Linked DNA regions of Coturnix japonica. The protein of the gene in region 1 interacts with the protein of each later gene in a pairwise test. Links are inferred from orthologs where the notes say so. Each region holds a gene or a part of one and is shown on either strand. Other genes may lie near its edges.

Region 1 (8,015 bases):
CCTCCTTGGCCCTCATGAGCACCAGCTTAATGTGTCCATTTCCTTCTGTCTGCAGGAGCGGCTGCAAGGTGAAGCAGTACGAGACGCCGGCGCTGGTGCTGGATGGTTGTGCTCAGGTGGGTGGGAGCAGCAGGGGATGCTGAGCCTCCACTGCCCATCCACACAGCCCAGCTCTGATCCCTGCAGCTCAGCTCTGCCCTGTTAACCTGCACGCCTTGATCCCACAGGATGAGGGAACGTTGATCTCAGAAATCCCAGACGTTGCCACTCGGGATGGACGTGCCACTGATGAGGAGAAGTTGGCATCCACCTCCTGCACACAGAAAGCAGCCGGGCTGGAGAAGAAGGGAGAACCTGAGGATGACCTGGAGTACTTTGAGTGCTCCAATGTCCCTGTACCAGCGGTGAAGCCTGGCATGGAGGCAGGTAGGGAGCATCTCCACTGCCCCTGGCAGTGCTTGTGCCATGTATTGCTTGTCTACATTGCTTTCATTATGGAAAAATCAGTGTGCTCTTTATCTGGAGCATCCTGGCTTTAGAATGCCCCACAGCCCATTCCCTGCCTTGCTGAGCCCAGCATCCCAGCTCCTCTCAAAATGCATTGAGCTCAGTAATGAAAACACAAATGCAAAGTCAGGGCTGTTACTGAAAGCTTCCATCCTGCTCTGCTTTTGCTCCTGGTGCACCCTGTGCCAGCACAGCTGCCGGCACACACTGCCTGCTAATAGAGAGCTCCAGGTCACTGCTGAAGGCTACACTGCTGCTCCTGCTGTCTGTCTCCTATGTGATTATCTGCTGTGACCAATCTATTAAGAAATAATTAAAAGCCAGGCAATGTGGCACTTAATCGATAGCGAGTTATAGGTGCAAGCAGCAGAAATGGCCGCATGGAGGGCTTGCAGCTGGTCATTAATCAGCTCCCCTGAATGCTGCTCAGAGCTGCAGAGCTCTGAGAGAGCACTTTGTCTTATAGGGGAGGGATTCCATAACTGCACATCTCTGCTCCCTCAGCATCACTGATATGACAGCTGTGGGAACAAACAGAAGCTGGGCTGCCACCAGAGGGGAGTGTTGGCTGCAGCTGCAGCTGGGATGTGGGATGTATCCTCCCCTCAAGGGCAGGAGAAGGGTAGAAAGCCTACCCAGGTTTACTCAGGCCATGCACTGTACACCTACATCCCAGTGAAGCTGCATGTGCTGCCAGGGTCTCATTTCCTAGTAGCTAAAACATTTTATTTCTCTGTCTCCAGGCTTTGAGAAGGAGCTCTCCAAGCAAACGGACAAGGATGGATCTGTTGCCTTCCCTGTGAGTGATGCTTCCTTCCCCCTGTTTGCCCACAGTCACCTTGGGGTGGCTCTGCTGGGGCTGCTGAATGGTTGTGGGGCTGATGGTGATGTGTGTGTGTGGGGGGGGGGGTCTGTGCCAGCAGAGCTGCCTCTACCCAGAGCTGACAAGCAGGTGACAACGAGATTAGCAACATCAGCAACATCAGCACCTCTGAGACAGATTTAACTGCACTAAGCCCCACAAGGACACTGGGCAAAGTGAACCTTGTGTTTGGTGCTGCTGAGGCTGCCCAAGCTGTGGGGAAGGCAGAGCTGTGCAGCTGCTGTGCATGGTGCTGCAGGAGGTTGCTGAGGCTGCCTGGACCTGGGGCTGTGTCCAAAGTGGTTGCCCACAGCTCCATCATGGGTGGATCCAGGCAGGGGGAGAGGGAGAGGGAGAGGGAGAGGGAGAGGGAGAGGGAGAGGGGAGAGAAGTGCTTTTGTTTCCAAAACACTGCAGAACCAGGCTGCCTTCTCCCAGCACTTTGCTATTTATGGCCTCACAGCCCGTTTCCAAGGAGATAACTGTGAGGGGCTGCACTGCTGCAGAGACAGTGGAGGGAGGAAGAAGCTGCCTGAGCTGTGTGGTGCAGGAGTGCTTTGCTGGGGACATTCACCCACAGGACCCCCCCACCCATACCCAGCACCCACCCCCATGGTGCAGCCCTAGCTATTCTAGAGCCAAACACAGAGCAAAGCAAAGTGACATTGGATGGGAGCACAGCTCAGCTTACAGCTGGGTCTGCCCCTGCTCTGCCTCTTCTTTGGGGTGCAGGCCCAGGGGCAGTGAGGGGGTGACCCCAAACATGGGAACCAAGGAGAAAAGATGAGCAAAAGACAACACCCAGCTGGGTGATTCCCATGCAGGGCCATCCCATGCTGTGCCTGGCAGACAAACCCCCCACAGCCATCACCAGTGGCAGCAGAAGTGACAGCCCCTTGGACAGCATCTGCCTGAACGCCTCCGAGAAGGCGGCCGTGCTCACACTCATCCGGGAGGAGGTAACAGTGTGGGCTGCCCTGTCCTGCTCTGCAATGGAGGGATGGGGGTGGGCGTGATGGTGGAGCACAGCCAAGCTCTCCTTCTGCTGCTCCCCAGATAATCACAAAGGAGATCGAAGCCAATGAGTGGAAGAAGAAGTACGAGGAGAGTCGTCAGGAGGTCCTGGAGATGAGGTGGGACCCCTGCCCGGTGGGATGCTGCGCTCATGTTCCCCCTGCTTGTCTGTGGGGCCGTAATGGGATGACACAGTTCTGCTTCACTGGGGTGGGACACATCGCGAGGCATGTCTGCTTTGTGCCTGCGCTGTGTTGAGCCTGCAGTTTGTTTGTTGTGGGGATGAAATCCCATTAGCTGCGGATGGAGGGGATCTGGGAGCAGCAGCAGGGGGTGCCCAGGCTGTTGCAGCACTGGGGCCCAGGGCAGCGTGCTGGAGCAGAGCTGTGGGTGTGTGTCTGCGGGAACTGCTGCTTCCTACTCACTTTTGTTCTTTTATTTCTTTTTCTTTTGCAGGAAAATTGTGGCTGAGTATGAAAAGACCATTGCCCAGATGATAGGTGAGGTCCCAGTGCTGCGGGGCAGGGCAATGCTGTCTGTGCTCAGTCACCACATCCCTGTTTGTTCCCCTCACAGAGGATGAGCAGAGGACAAATATGACCTCCCAAAAGAACCTGCAACAGCTCACCATGGAGAAGGACCAGGCGCTGGCAGACCTCAACTCTGTGGAGAGGTCCCTATCGGATCTGTTCAGGAGATATGAAAACCTGAAGGGTGTCCTGGAAGGTTTTAAGAAGGTCCTGATCTCGGTGTCCTCCCCCATCCCTGCAGCTATGGGGGCTGTGCATTGCCCCCACCCTGTCCCATGCAGATCTGTCATCAGAGAAGCACGCTGTGCTTGGTCCCAGTGCAGATGGATATACTTTGTTTTCCAGAATGAAGAAGCCCTGAAGAAGTGTGCTCAGGACTATTTAAACCGTGTCAAGCAAGAGGAGCAGCGATACCAGGCCCTGAAGGTCCACGCGGAGGAGAAGTTGGACAAGTAAGAGCTGTGAGGTGCAGGAGGATGGGCAGCACATGCCTGGCCCTGAGTAATGAGCATTCACCTCCATGCAGCAGTAGCAAAACCACCTCTGATGCATTGCAGCGTGCAGGAGCTGGGCTCTGCTGGAACATCATGACCCAACATCCTTACCACAGAACTCCCACCCCATAACCCCATCTCTCCCCATGCAGAGCCAACGAGGAGATCGCCCAGGTGCGCACCAAGGCCAAAGCAGAGAGCGCAGCTCTGCATGCAGGGCTGAGAAAGGAGCAGATGAAGGTGGAGTCCCTGGAGAGAGCCCTGCAGCAGAAGGTAACGTCCACTGCCAGCACACTGGGGATGCTCTGTGCTTCCACTTTGGTGCTGGAGCTGTTCTCTCTGTTTTGGGGTCAGAAAGTGCTTTTGAGGATCAAGGGAGTGGGGTCATGAGGGGATGAGGAGGGATGTACCACAGGGTCCTGCTTCCTTTCCAGAACCAGGAGATCGAGGAGCTGACCAAGATCTGCGACGAGCTGATCGCGAAGCTGGGCAGGGCAGACTGAGCTCACCACCCCCAGCTCCACACCCGGCTGCTTTTCTCCTACCTTCGAGCACTTTGCCTTATTATTACCCCAGAGCGACCCTGCAGAAAGCACACGTGTGGCTGCTGCACCCCAGGTGTGAAGGTGGCCATCCCCATGTGCTGTCACTGTCCTCACGTGCTGCATGGCACAGCACCAAGGGCTGTTGTTTGGAGCACCAGGGAAGGAGCTCTGCTTGGAGCTCCTTTCCCCACTCAGCACGGCGAGGCACAGAGCAGCAGTCACTCTCTGGATCTTGCACTGCTCTCTCCAGTCCCCCTGCAGCACTGCGTAATGAGGGAAGCAAACAAAGCTGCCCTTTACAGGGAAAGGCAGATCCAGGCAGCATTTCCATGCAGGCTGCCTGCTGCTTTTGGAGGTGGTTACTCCTTAGTGAGCCCAGCAGAAGGGCTGAGGCTCCTTCCCTCACCACACACAGGCAGCCCTGAGGTGTCAGATAAGGGAAATAAATGCTGTTGGACTGTTTCCTACCTAGCCCAGCTAAAACCTTAGCAAACCTTTTTGCTGCTACCTTTTTTTGTAAAAGAAATTGAGCTGTTTTTCCTTCTATTTTCTAACCCCTGCGTTCCGCATGCAGTGCAGACATCTGTTAAAGCAGAGCCATACACCGGAGATATATTTTATTAGTTATCTATTAGAAAGGATTTATTATATAGACACAAAGCTCGGGCACACGCAGGGTCCCCACCCGGCTCCCACTGACTCAGCAAAGGGGCTGATGGCTGATGCTGTGCACCTGCAGTGTTGTGTTGAACGTTCACCTCTTTGCACAGCTGACAGAATAGAAAACCCCCTTTTTTCCCCCTCTTTCCTTTGCTGGGTTGTCACACTGCCAACCACAACCTGCTGCAGCACAGCTCCCCTCACCAGCACCGTGGTGGCTGCAGCCTGGCACCACTCTCTTCCCTTCTTCTCCTATGTATCGAGCTCCACAGCAGCCCTCCCAGCCCCAGCGTGGCTGCAGGGCACTGGTGGCAGCCAGGAGCGATGCCAGCACAGCGAGATCAAATCTTTGTGATGCTTCCTGCAGCACGGAGCTGCGTGGAAGGCAGAGCTGTACCCGCAGCAGTGATACGATGTGGCAGCATCCTCACACTGCTCTGCTCCTGCTGTCCACATGCTGCTGCCTCCACCACCCGCGTGCTGTTGCATTTCTGTGCCTCTCAGCGTGCACGTCCAGTCTGGGCAAAGATTCCTAAGGAATGATTTATTAACTATAATATGGTTATAGTTGCATATATATAAATATATACATACCAGCCATAGTTACCTATAACAGAAGGCGTATTTTAAGTTCACGTGGGCAACACTGCTGCATCCCCTGTTGCAGCTGTGGCCACCTTTCCTGCAGCAGAAATGATGTGTCCCTTTCAGCAGCAGTGTCCATGAACGCAGTGTTGCTGTGTGTGAGTTTGCCCCTAGATCTTATGTCTGCAGTGAAGTGCCAACGAGTGCCCACCCTGACTGCTCCCTGCTTCCATCCCTCCATCCTCCCCCCCCCCCTTTGTGCTGACTACTACCAGGCTCACTTTGTACACCATCCATCGCTGCCATCAGCCTTGATTTTGTATGTAATTTCCCTTTTATATGTCAGGTAAATATTTGTAAGAGTTATACTCACACAAAGGAGATTATTATGATGATTACTAATATATATATATATTTTTCCCCCCCCATGTTTCATTGCCTGAGTAAAAATGGTGTTTATCACTCTTGAAAGGTTTCATGCTGTTTTTAATGGTGGTGAGGGGATAAATCCCCTGGGTTGGGCCTGATTCTGCCTCATGTGTGTGGATGGGGTTGGGGCTGTGTTAGGGACCCTGGGGATGGCTCGGGGCTGTGCTGTGCCCATTGCCGTGCCCCTGGGCAGCTCCTGCCCTTGGAGCTGTGTCCCCTCCCAGCTCAGGTGGCATTAGGACGGGCTGCTAAGTGCGTTATCCTCAGCCCATAGATCCAATCGCCCAAGCAGATTACCATAAAACCTCGGGACAAAAGAGAGGCTATGTGCCACGGGCGAGCACTGCTGACAATGTCGCCCCTGAAGACCCTCCTGGCTCTGACCATCGTCACCTCCCTGGCGTTGGATGGTAAGTGACTGCAGCTGCCATGGAAGGGAACAGTCCCTGCTCCGGTGTAGGACTGAGGACAGGCAATGGGTGCGCGGCGCAGGGGCGCTGAGCTGCGGGGGGAGGCCGGGGCTGCACTCATCTCACGCTGATATTGGGATCTTCGCACCGAGGGGATGATGAAATGCAGCCGCGTTTGTAGTGGGCAGAGCAGTGAGAGGTACCGCTACGCACCCCGTGCTCGGTGTGGGTCCGTTCCCATCACGCGTGGGGACTTTTTCCTTTCCAAGAGAGGAAAAAGCGCCGCGAGAGGGCTCTGCTCGTCCAGCAAAGAGGGTGGACGTTTTCCTCCCGACGTTAAGCATTAATTCAACCACCTCTGTAACAACCAAGCGCTCCTCCTGATGGGGTGAGAGCGGGGCTTTTCGGAGGTGCTCCGTCTGCACGTATTCAAAGCAGCGCTGTTATTTCAGGGCTCTCATTATCACGCAGAGACAGCGGTGCTTTCAGATTTGCTCAGGCAGCTCCTGAGCTGAGTGGGATCTCCGCAGCCGCGCAGGGTCGGGGCTCCTCCACCCGCATAGAGCCCTTATAGGAGGGCTCTATATGTGAGCTCCTATAAGGGGGGGGCACTGCTGTGACACACGCATCCATCACCCCTCTGCAGTGCAGTGCCAATGGGTGCAGTTCTGTGCAGTGCAACGCACGGGGGAAGCTGCCTGCATGGCACACGCGTGCACTAAACCCCACCTGCACAGGCGCTCATTGCTCTGGCACAAAAAAGGACGGAGGTTGAAGGTTTTACGCTGCTGTACCTGGGACAGGGCTGCACCCACGCGATGCACACAGCACACAGAGGGCTCAGCACTGCCTCCCCTTGTGCAGGTGCAGCACTGAAATGCCACAAATGCGTCGCATCCAACGAGAACGACTGCAACAAGCAGGGCTCGCACAGCTGCCCTCAGTACGCAGACGCCTGCTCCACCATCACTGCACCCAGTAAGTCCGTGCCAGGGCTGCAAAGCTGCCACCACATCCTACTGCAGCTCAGCTGTGTGCTGGAGGGATGTGCTCCTGCTGCACGGCAGCACCTAACCCTGTGTGTTGTGCCTTCCCTTGCAGACAGCATCATCAAGTCCTGCTCCTACAAGTCCTTCTGTGACCAGGCACGGCGCGGCTCCGGGGGGGCCACCCTGCATTGCTGCTTCAGTGATGACTGCAATGGGCCACGGGGCTCACGCAGCTCCGGGGTAGCCACGATGCCACATCTGTCCTGTCTGCTGGCTGTGGGGCTGGTGGGGACGCTGCTGCTGGGTGTGCCATGATGGGCACAGCATGGCCAGGGGGTGGCACGGCCATGGGGGTGGCTCGGCATAGCATCTCAGTGCAGTAGTGTAGGCATCGCTCAGCAGGAGTGTGGCACGTAATGTTGCCCAAATAAAGGCTGCAGCTGAAAGCCACATTCCTGGCCACTGCTTTTCATTTACAGGAAAGCCATCAATCAGAGAGAGAATGGATCCGGCAAAAGCAATGGTGCTTCCTAGGGCTCTGATTTGAATGTGTGCTCATTGAAGCATGGCTGCTGTGGGAAGTCTGCGTCAGTGCAGTGCATGGCAGCCCCGGGCCTCACTCCCAGCACTCTGCCATGACCCCACACCTTAGGGCTGGGCTGGGGCTGCTTACAATTCTGTCCCATAGACAGACCATAGATGTGCTGGATATCAGCTGAAATATGGTCTCCAACTTGGGGTACCCCTGGCAGTACCTGTCCCCATCCCTGTCCCCATCCTGACCCTGGGATGCAGGTTGGTGAGCCACTCTCAGGGAGATTAAACATCTCTCTGCTGACTAACCCACACTCTGGCTGTCACCACCACCTCCAAGAGATCTCGCTTTTCCTCTTTCCACCACGCTTTCACTTTGAACCCCTAATGAGTAGGTGTGTCCCACAGGTGCTGCTGTAAGGACCTGCCAGGTTGTGGCTATCAGGAGTGCTCCTT
Region 2 (8,015 bases), on another chromosome or scaffold:
CTACGTGTGAGAAAATGGGAGTTCTTACAACCACAAAGGAAGTCCTTCCCCTCCTACCATCCCCTTCTACAGAAGCTGACGTATTGGCAATGTTATGTATAGCTGTAAGCAGCTCTTGAGAGAGCTGTCAGCATGAGATCTGGTCTGTGGAATGTGTAGTTAGGTTAATGTCAAGAAGTGTATGTACCTGTAGTATATGTATATAATTGGAAGCTGTTGTGGAATTAGTATTAGCACTGTTTCCAGCTGTCTTCTTTACAGTTTTTCCAACTTACAACATGCTTTATGTTGCGCTTCATATTCTGTTATATTACCATTGGCCATCATCTTGGTGTGTAGGATGCACCATCTTTCCATGTTGGTTTTTCTTGGCACATGTTGTCTTATTACTTCTGAATCCTGTGAATATGATTACTGGAAGAGTAAATGATCTACTGAGCTCCCTTTTGAGATCATTAGCCATGCTTTCTAATGATGTGCATCTGTCCAGACAGCATGTGGATGTAGAATCAATGAACTTCAAGGACAGAGAGTTTGAAATTTCTCTAGTGCCAACTTAAGCATTACAGGCATGTTGGTTTTTATACCTCCTTTTTCAGGACAGGCCATGAAGTTTAAGATTACTTTAAATGTTTGACTTTAAATGTTGATTATGGAGGTGTTCTAGATATATATATTTTTTTATGGCTTCAGTTATTTCCTTTTGTTTTCATAGGACCCCAGCTGAATGCACAACTAGAAGGCTGGCTTTCTCAAGTACAGTCCACAAAGAGACCTGCTAGAGCCATTATTGCACCGTAAGTTTGAAGTCCATTTTTGGTGTGTATAATATTTGGTTTGTTAAATACATACTTATTCTGAGTGATTTTTGAGAACTGGGGAAGTCCTGACTGTAGCTGAAAGAAACGTCATGTGGTTTCTCAATAATATTTAGAAAATGAAGTGGAAGTGGCATAAACCCATGATCATCTTGGTATATGATCAGTTTCCTTTTGCAGGTGGCTTGAAGAAATAATCTTTTCCTTGTGATCCTCTAAGATAAGAGGTAGCCTAAGACGATGACTCTTTCAATGCAGTTATTGCATTGAACAGCTACGTGTATGTTTATTTTTGAAGTCAACAAAGAGAAAACCACTTTGCAAAGCTAAAAATTGTATTGAAACATTTTTCAGCAATCCAAAATGGTTTACTTTTGTTGGGTGCTTTTTTGGTGTATTTATTTTTGTTTTGGGCTACAGGAGAAACCATCTCAGTTATTTAGGTAGAACTAAGTTTAATGACATTAGTGAAGGCTTGTATATATAAGAAAGGTATGTTGATTATTCAAGCTTGTTGTGGGTAGGAAGGGGATACTAGAAAATGCACCTTAATTAACTTCTGGTATTTCCTGTTGTAACCATAGTGTTAACATAACATTAGAGGTATTTCATAATAGTACTTAATCCATGGAAGAAACTGTCTCAAGTCTACCATGGTCTTTTCTTGCGGGAATATCTGGAGAAAGGCTTTCTAGCTGCGGCTTAGATAAAGATAAGATTTATTACTTAGATCTGTGCTCGGGTTCATAAGAAACACAACTTGCATTCCTAGATACGTGAGAAACACAGACTAGGCCTAACTACGAGCCTTAGCATGACTACTGCTACTATTATTTAAAGCACACTGTAACAGAGATGCTTCTGTGGCCTTGCTGAATTCTTCATTCATCTGTGCCTTTGTTTTGGCACCTGTAAAGTGGAACATGGCTAATACAGTTTTTGTGAAGGACAAAAACTTGCATCAGAGGGAACCTTTTGAAGGCTGTGTTAACCTTGCTGATTCACCCTGTCTCCCTGTTATCCACTTAGTCTGCAGTAGTGGAGCATTTTGAAGTAAAATCTGGGAATAATTTTGAGGATAACTTGCTCCAGATATCATCTGTATGTGTGCATCTTACTGCATTCCACTCCCTTATGCCTATTTATTCTGTTGTTGAGGTGGTTTTCATCATTGACTGAATATTTTTATTCTTCTTTCTGTTTTAACAGTCTGCTTTTGACAAACTCTTCCACTGTCCTCCATGTTCAGTTTACATGTATCTGGTTAGGAAAACTTCCTCCAACATTGTATTATTTCCATGTCTAGTGGTTGCACTCTCAGCATTACTATGAGCTTCTGATAGTATGCAGTTGTACAGAGGGCCTACTATATCTTTTATAAACAACAGAAGGTGCTTTGATTAAGGATGCCTATTTAATGTTTACTGCTAGCTCTTCTACAAATACATCATGCATGCATTCAGTATTGCAATAGTGCTCTTCAGCTGTTCCATGGGATGTTTTGAGGATTATTCTTGTTATTTCTAGTTTTTAGGTGATAAAGATGTTAATGTTTAATAGCAGTGTGAATGTGATGTGCATTGTACAAAAATGTTCAACAGAGTTAATGCTGTTTAACTTGATTTACAGCCATGCAGGATATACCTATTGTGGATCTTGTGCAGCCCATGCTTACAAGCAAGTAGATCCAAATATTACGTAAGTATTAAACTCTTCTTTAGGAATCTTAAGATGAGGTCTAGGAAGTGTTCTTTGTTACCCTTATATTTTTGGTTTTTTGTATACTGAAGTATTTGATCACATTCTGCATTGGTTATTTAGTGCAGGATTACAAGCTGAATGCTACCAGGATTGTCTTCTGCTATGGAGAAAAATAACCATTGTGTGTATATAATACTTAAAGCCAATGAAAGTTACTTGTTGTAATAGTTTTAAATGGACTTGTGTTACTAATGGCAGAGACTCAAAAGCCCAAAATTAAAAAAAACAAAACACCAACAACCAACAACACCAACAAGAAACATCCCCCACTGTAGTTTGTGTCTGCATCTAAAGGTATAAAGAGACTTTATTCTAGAAAGAAGTATAATTCTTTCCTGTTTTGACAGCAACATTTGTTCAATGTGAATTTTAAAACATCTCCAGTATTTTCTCACTGTATGCATCTTGCAATGCCAGTCTAAAAACTGGCTCTGTAAGTTGCTTAGAAGATAAATGTTGTGCTCCCAAAACCAAAACCAGTGTTAGCATACACTCTAAACTATTGTAAAACAACGTGAAGATAACTTAGTTTTAGAGAGGCCAGTTCTCTGTTACACTAAATCGAGTTGCATTCCCCAAGTTCAGTGACACAGTGAGTTAATTGAACTTTCTGGATCACTTGATGTTTTATTGCATGGGATGTCTAGAATTCACTAGAGTGTAATTAATCTTTCAACTGAAGTATTGTACATTTGGATTTTTTGCTTGTATGAGCTCTGTAAACAGGTGTAGTATTTTAGTATTGCTTTTATTTCGCATGCAAGAGAGAAGAAATAAAGATATTTTCATGTTTCCACCACTTTAGTTCAGTGCAGATGTGATCCTGATTCTGAAAAGCTGAATTTCCTGTAGATTTTTCTAAAGTTCTGTGGCAGGAGAGTTAAGCAAGAGCCAGGAGCTGATGACTTCATGAAATAATACCATGATGGGTGAAAGATGGCAATATCTGCTGAGGCTGTGAGTGTATAGATCCAGATCCTTGTTCTTAATGCAACAGCTGGGCAAATAAACCAGTTGAGGGTAGCTTAAAGTGGAATTTGGTATAACTTGAAGTAAAGGGTAATCAAGTAAACTACTGAACAGCTCCGAATAGGTGATAAATCTATAATCCTCACTTGAGAGTGCATACCTGTAATTGTTGACCACATATAAGTGAAGGTTGAGTTAGATTTTTCAATTTACTCCTTTGATCAAAGGGCTATAATGTATAATTCTGCCTTCAGATGACCCCAGTCAATTGCTAGTTGATTAGTGTTGGTATATAATCTGTTTGAGAGGTTTAAAGCTATGTGAAGCATTATTGCACCGATCTTAGGACTGTTTCTGAGTTACTGAGTGAGGATCAGGGATTGATCTGTGGTCTGATGCATAATAGAATAAAACTCTGCTGTTAACCACCAACTGCTCAAGTATTGCTTCATATGCCAGCATTTTTTTTAAACTTGTTACTCTAAACAAGCCTCTGTTCAATTGCTGTTGTCTAAATTCTGGGCTTCTTGTTTGTCTGTTGATTGTTGTAGCCGAAAAATTTTCATTCTTGGGCCTTCCCATCACGTGCCCCTTTCCCGATGTGCACTTTCCAGTGTGGACATTTATAGAACACCTCTGTATGATCTCCGAATTGACCAAAAGAGTAAGTGTGCAATAAAGCTTACCTGCTGTTGGCTGCTGGGGCTTCAGAATTAGCTGCGGTGGTGCAGTGCTGAGGACCATTATAGTGCTGGGCATATCATTGCTCTTCTGTGGCATACAGATGTGAAAGTTTTACTCCAATGAAAGCTAACTTCTTGAAGATCCTAACATATTAAGGTCTTTTTGCTCCAGCATTCTCTGAATTATTCTGTCTGCAAAAAACCACAGTGTTTTAGTTGGTTTGAATGTATTTCTAATGAAGGAACAGAAAACTACCTTTATTTGGCTGTCCCATTGCATGTGACTTTTTTTTCTTTTTTAATTAGTGTAGTACCTACAAAATTTAATGTTAGTCCATGAAAGACTGGTCTTCGAGAGTAAGTTTAAAGATGCACTGAAGATGGCTGTGATGTTCTGAGTCATATAATTTTCAAAGTATATCTAAACTATACTTTTCAGAAGTGCTTGTTAGCCAAATTTGTTGCTGCTTCATTATCACTGATTAACTGAGCCAGATCAGGCTTCCTGCATGATGCCTGTAAAAACTTCCTTAGGTGCCAAATATTCAAGGTTTTGCAGAACGCCTTTATGTAATGGAGAACAAGGCAGAGCCCTACGTCAGTCTACCCACCGAGTAGAGCTTCCTAATGCAGAGATCACTGTTTGCATACCACCAGGTTCACTTAAGAGAATGAAACATAGCTTATAGGTATGCATTACTTAATCAGATTTTGCTGTCTGATAATTCAGTTAATAGTAAACTATATTAAGTAGTAATACATCCAGCAATGACTCAGCTGGTCAACTTCTCAAAAACAATGTGATGGTGTAGTTTGGGAAAATAAGAGTTGAAAGACTAGGCACCTGCATGTATATTTTCTAATGTTCTACTATGCCATGAAGTTTCATTATTAGATCTTGTAGCATAGCTGAAAATCTCTATACCAACAAGGTGACTGATTTAACACAACTTTATTCTGTAAATTAAATAGTTTATGACTTGAACGTAATTTTAATCTTACGTTTATGTAGAAATCAAGTGGTTTATGTTGACAGTTCTTGGAGACAAGTAGTTTGATTTATTGGGCTTGTTTCTGATAATGGTGCACTACATTTTGCTTTATTGTTTGTGTGTGGGGAAGAATGATACAAATGATTTTTGATTCATTTCAGTTTATGGAGAACTGTGGAAGACCGGAATGTTTGAGCGTATGTCTTTACAGACAGATGAAGATGAACACAGTATTGAAATGCATTTGCCTTATACTGCTAAAGCCATGGAAAGGTACTAGGGCTATTTACTTCTTGTACAGGAACATACATGATGTGCATTAAAATGCAGTTGAGACATTTACCGTACAGAAGGAAGAAATAATATCTTTGTAGAGATTTTCCTACCATAGTCCCCCATCCCTCAAGGAAAACCTTGGGGAGGAGGGGTCAGAGACGAGTATTATTTGCTTGGAAGAGTAGTCTGCATTTGGGCAGTACTTGTACACAGAGATTTTATTTATTGATTTCACTTGTTTTTCTATTTTGCAGCAAAAATGCTGTTTTGGGGGGGGGGTTGTATTTTGAAACTGAAGTAGTTTGAGGTTTTAGATTAACTTAAGAGTATGATCTTATCAAGTGAACTGTGTCTCGAAAACGTCCTTTTAAAACATTCTGCAAATTGTTAGCAAGTCTTAAAACACCTTAAGATGACAGTTAAATTACAGCCTTTTTTCTTTTGCTTATAAGCCATAAGGATGAGTTTACTATTATTCCTGTGTTGGTCGGAGCACTGAGTGAGGCAAAAGAGCAGGAATTTGGAAAACTCTTCAGTAAATACCTAGCTGATCCTAGTAACCTCTTTGTGGTTTCTTCTGACTTTTGCCATTGGGGTAAGTTTCACATCTCTTTATGACAGCAGTATGATTAATATTTTGTATTCACTTTTTAAAGAACGTCTTTCATTAAATGCATTTTGACATTTTAACTTTTGGTAAATGTGTATTTGAAACTTAAATATGTTTGTAAAGCTGAAAAAAAAAAGTTGGAGCAATAGACAAAACTAAAATGATACTACAAAGTGATACTATGTTTTTCAGTGTAGCAAAGAGGTGGGGAAGGAATATGGGTTTATAAACATCTTTTCACTTGCAATGGAATGTCTAAAGTTCCTTGCTTTTTTTTGTTGTTGTTTTCTTTTTTACTTTTAAACATCTCAAGGGATATTGCAAAAGTAAATAGTTAAAAATTCACTGGACATGTCAACATCCCTTCAGAAATAAGTTTTGTATTTTTTATTGCTGAGTAAGATAGCAAATGGCATAAATACTCCAACTCAGCTGAGTTATTCCAGTTCATGGTGACAGAACTAGATAGATTCCAGAAGCCTAGATGTCTGTCATTTTGCTTTAATGCTTTGTTTTCCCTTTACTGTAACAATAGCCGGAAAGGGGAACTGCTTCACAAAGATGTTTTATGTTACACAACAGACCTTCTTACTTTTTATTCATGGTCTCCTTTGGTCACCTTATGTAACAAAGTTCATGTTTTACTCATCTTTGAACTGTGGAATAGGTGGACCTGTGTGACCTGTGTTCAGCTGCGGCCAGTGAGCCATCTAGAACCGTTTAATTGAATTACCCTGAACTTTTTCTTATAACCTTCATTTGCAGTGGGTGTTATTGTGTGAGCAGTAGCTTGACTCCAGGGTTGACTTTATATCTGAAGAGAAAAAGCGAAAATAAATGTTGCTTTACATGTAAACTTATAGAAATTGAGTCCAAGGCATTAACAGGCAGTTAATAAGCGACACTGCAGTGTCAGATCTACAGAACAGGCTTTTCTTTTTAAGTACAGCTGCCCTTCTCTTTAATTCTTTCACTTGGCTTCTGGGCTGCTTCTGTGGTAGCCCTAAAATTTTCTCAGTGGATCTAAAAGATGTAAAGCAAATGGAGATTACAACTTACAGATGTTACAGTTTCGATTAATTTGTAAGTACTAGGGAGTGTTTTAGCTTCAAATTTTCCCTTTTTTATTTTATACGTGATTTTTGTTTCAAGGTCAGAGGTTCCGTTACAGTTACTATGATGAATCCCAAGGAGAAATTTATAGATCCATTGAGCACCTAGATAAAATGGTAAGTTTTCAGATTTGGTGGAACTAACTAACAAGTTTCTCCTGTACTTTACATTACTTTGAACACGTCGGAAACTTCTCTAACAAAGTGTTACAAATTGGCTATTTTATTGGCTGTATACTTTTCCTTTGCTTACCAGAACTTAGCTGTGGTCTTTTACTAATATCTTCTGTTCTACTGAGTGTGCACGGTACATTGTGGGTGTAATCTAATAAGCATAATTTATGAGAATAAATGCATGTTTACCTACTTAGAGTTTCCCCAGTGAATTCCTATCCATGTACCTTCTTATACGTATGAAAAACAGTAAAAATGATTAAATGTTGTGGTAGTTCAGACTTGATAGCTATGTTACCTGCATAATAAAACAGCTTTGTGATCTTTGTGATTGTGTTAATGGTTTCAGCATCTTCAATTATGAAGAGAAAAGGCTGTAGGGGATTGTGCTCTTCAGGAAAACAAAAGTCCCTGTTTCTTGGGGGAGCAGTCTTACCTCTCTTCTACTCTGTAGCTGTTGATGAGGGAAAAATGCTAGGCCATACTGTGTGCTATGCTTGGCAAATGGTTGGAGACCATAACGCCAATTTTGATACATTTTCTTTGCAATCTTAGAAGCCAAGTATTTCCTTTTAAATAGGGAAAAAGGAATAATTGTAACCTTCATTGAGGTTAACTCA

The links. The genes of interacting proteins can lie anywhere in the genome.
Region 2: the proteins of TACC1 (region 1) and MEMO1 interact in binary tests that used the Homo sapiens proteins (3 or more experiments, as listed by UniProt). The two-hybrid records come from large-scale screens. The link is inferred for Coturnix japonica from reciprocal best matches to the Homo sapiens genes TACC1 and MEMO1.

Annotation. Positions count from the first base shown.
Region 1 is NC_029537.1:3,768,432-3,776,446, forward strand, and holds the end of TACC1 (transforming acidic coiled-coil-containing protein 1), read left to right. Parts: intron 1-55; coding exon 56-116; intron 117-227; coding exon 228-426; intron 427-1,250; coding exon 1,251-1,306; intron 1,307-2,193; coding exon 2,194-2,328; intron 2,329-2,425; coding exon 2,426-2,502; intron 2,503-2,839; coding exon 2,840-2,883; intron 2,884-2,959; coding exon 2,960-3,120; intron 3,121-3,258; coding exon 3,259-3,365; intron 3,366-3,559; coding exon 3,560-3,680; intron 3,681-3,841; coding exon 3,842-3,910; 3' UTR 3,911-5,664; downstream 5,665-8,015. UniProt on the Homo sapiens protein: Involved in transcription regulation induced by nuclear receptors, including in T3 thyroid hormone and all-trans retinoic acid pathways. Might promote the nuclear localization of the receptors.
Region 2 is NC_029518.1:30,310,451-30,318,465, forward strand, and holds part of MEMO1 (protein MEMO1), read left to right. Parts: intron 1-715; coding exon 716-797; intron 798-2,447; coding exon 2,448-2,516; intron 2,517-3,428; exon of another isoform or gene 3,429-3,501; coding exon of another isoform or gene 3,502-3,536; intron 3,537-4,099; coding exon 4,100-4,212; intron 4,213-5,384; coding exon 5,385-5,496; intron 5,497-5,951; coding exon 5,952-6,094; intron 6,095-7,261; coding exon 7,262-7,338; intron 7,339-8,015. UniProt on the Homo sapiens protein: May control cell migration by relaying extracellular chemotactic signals to the microtubule cytoskeleton. Mediator of ERBB2 signaling.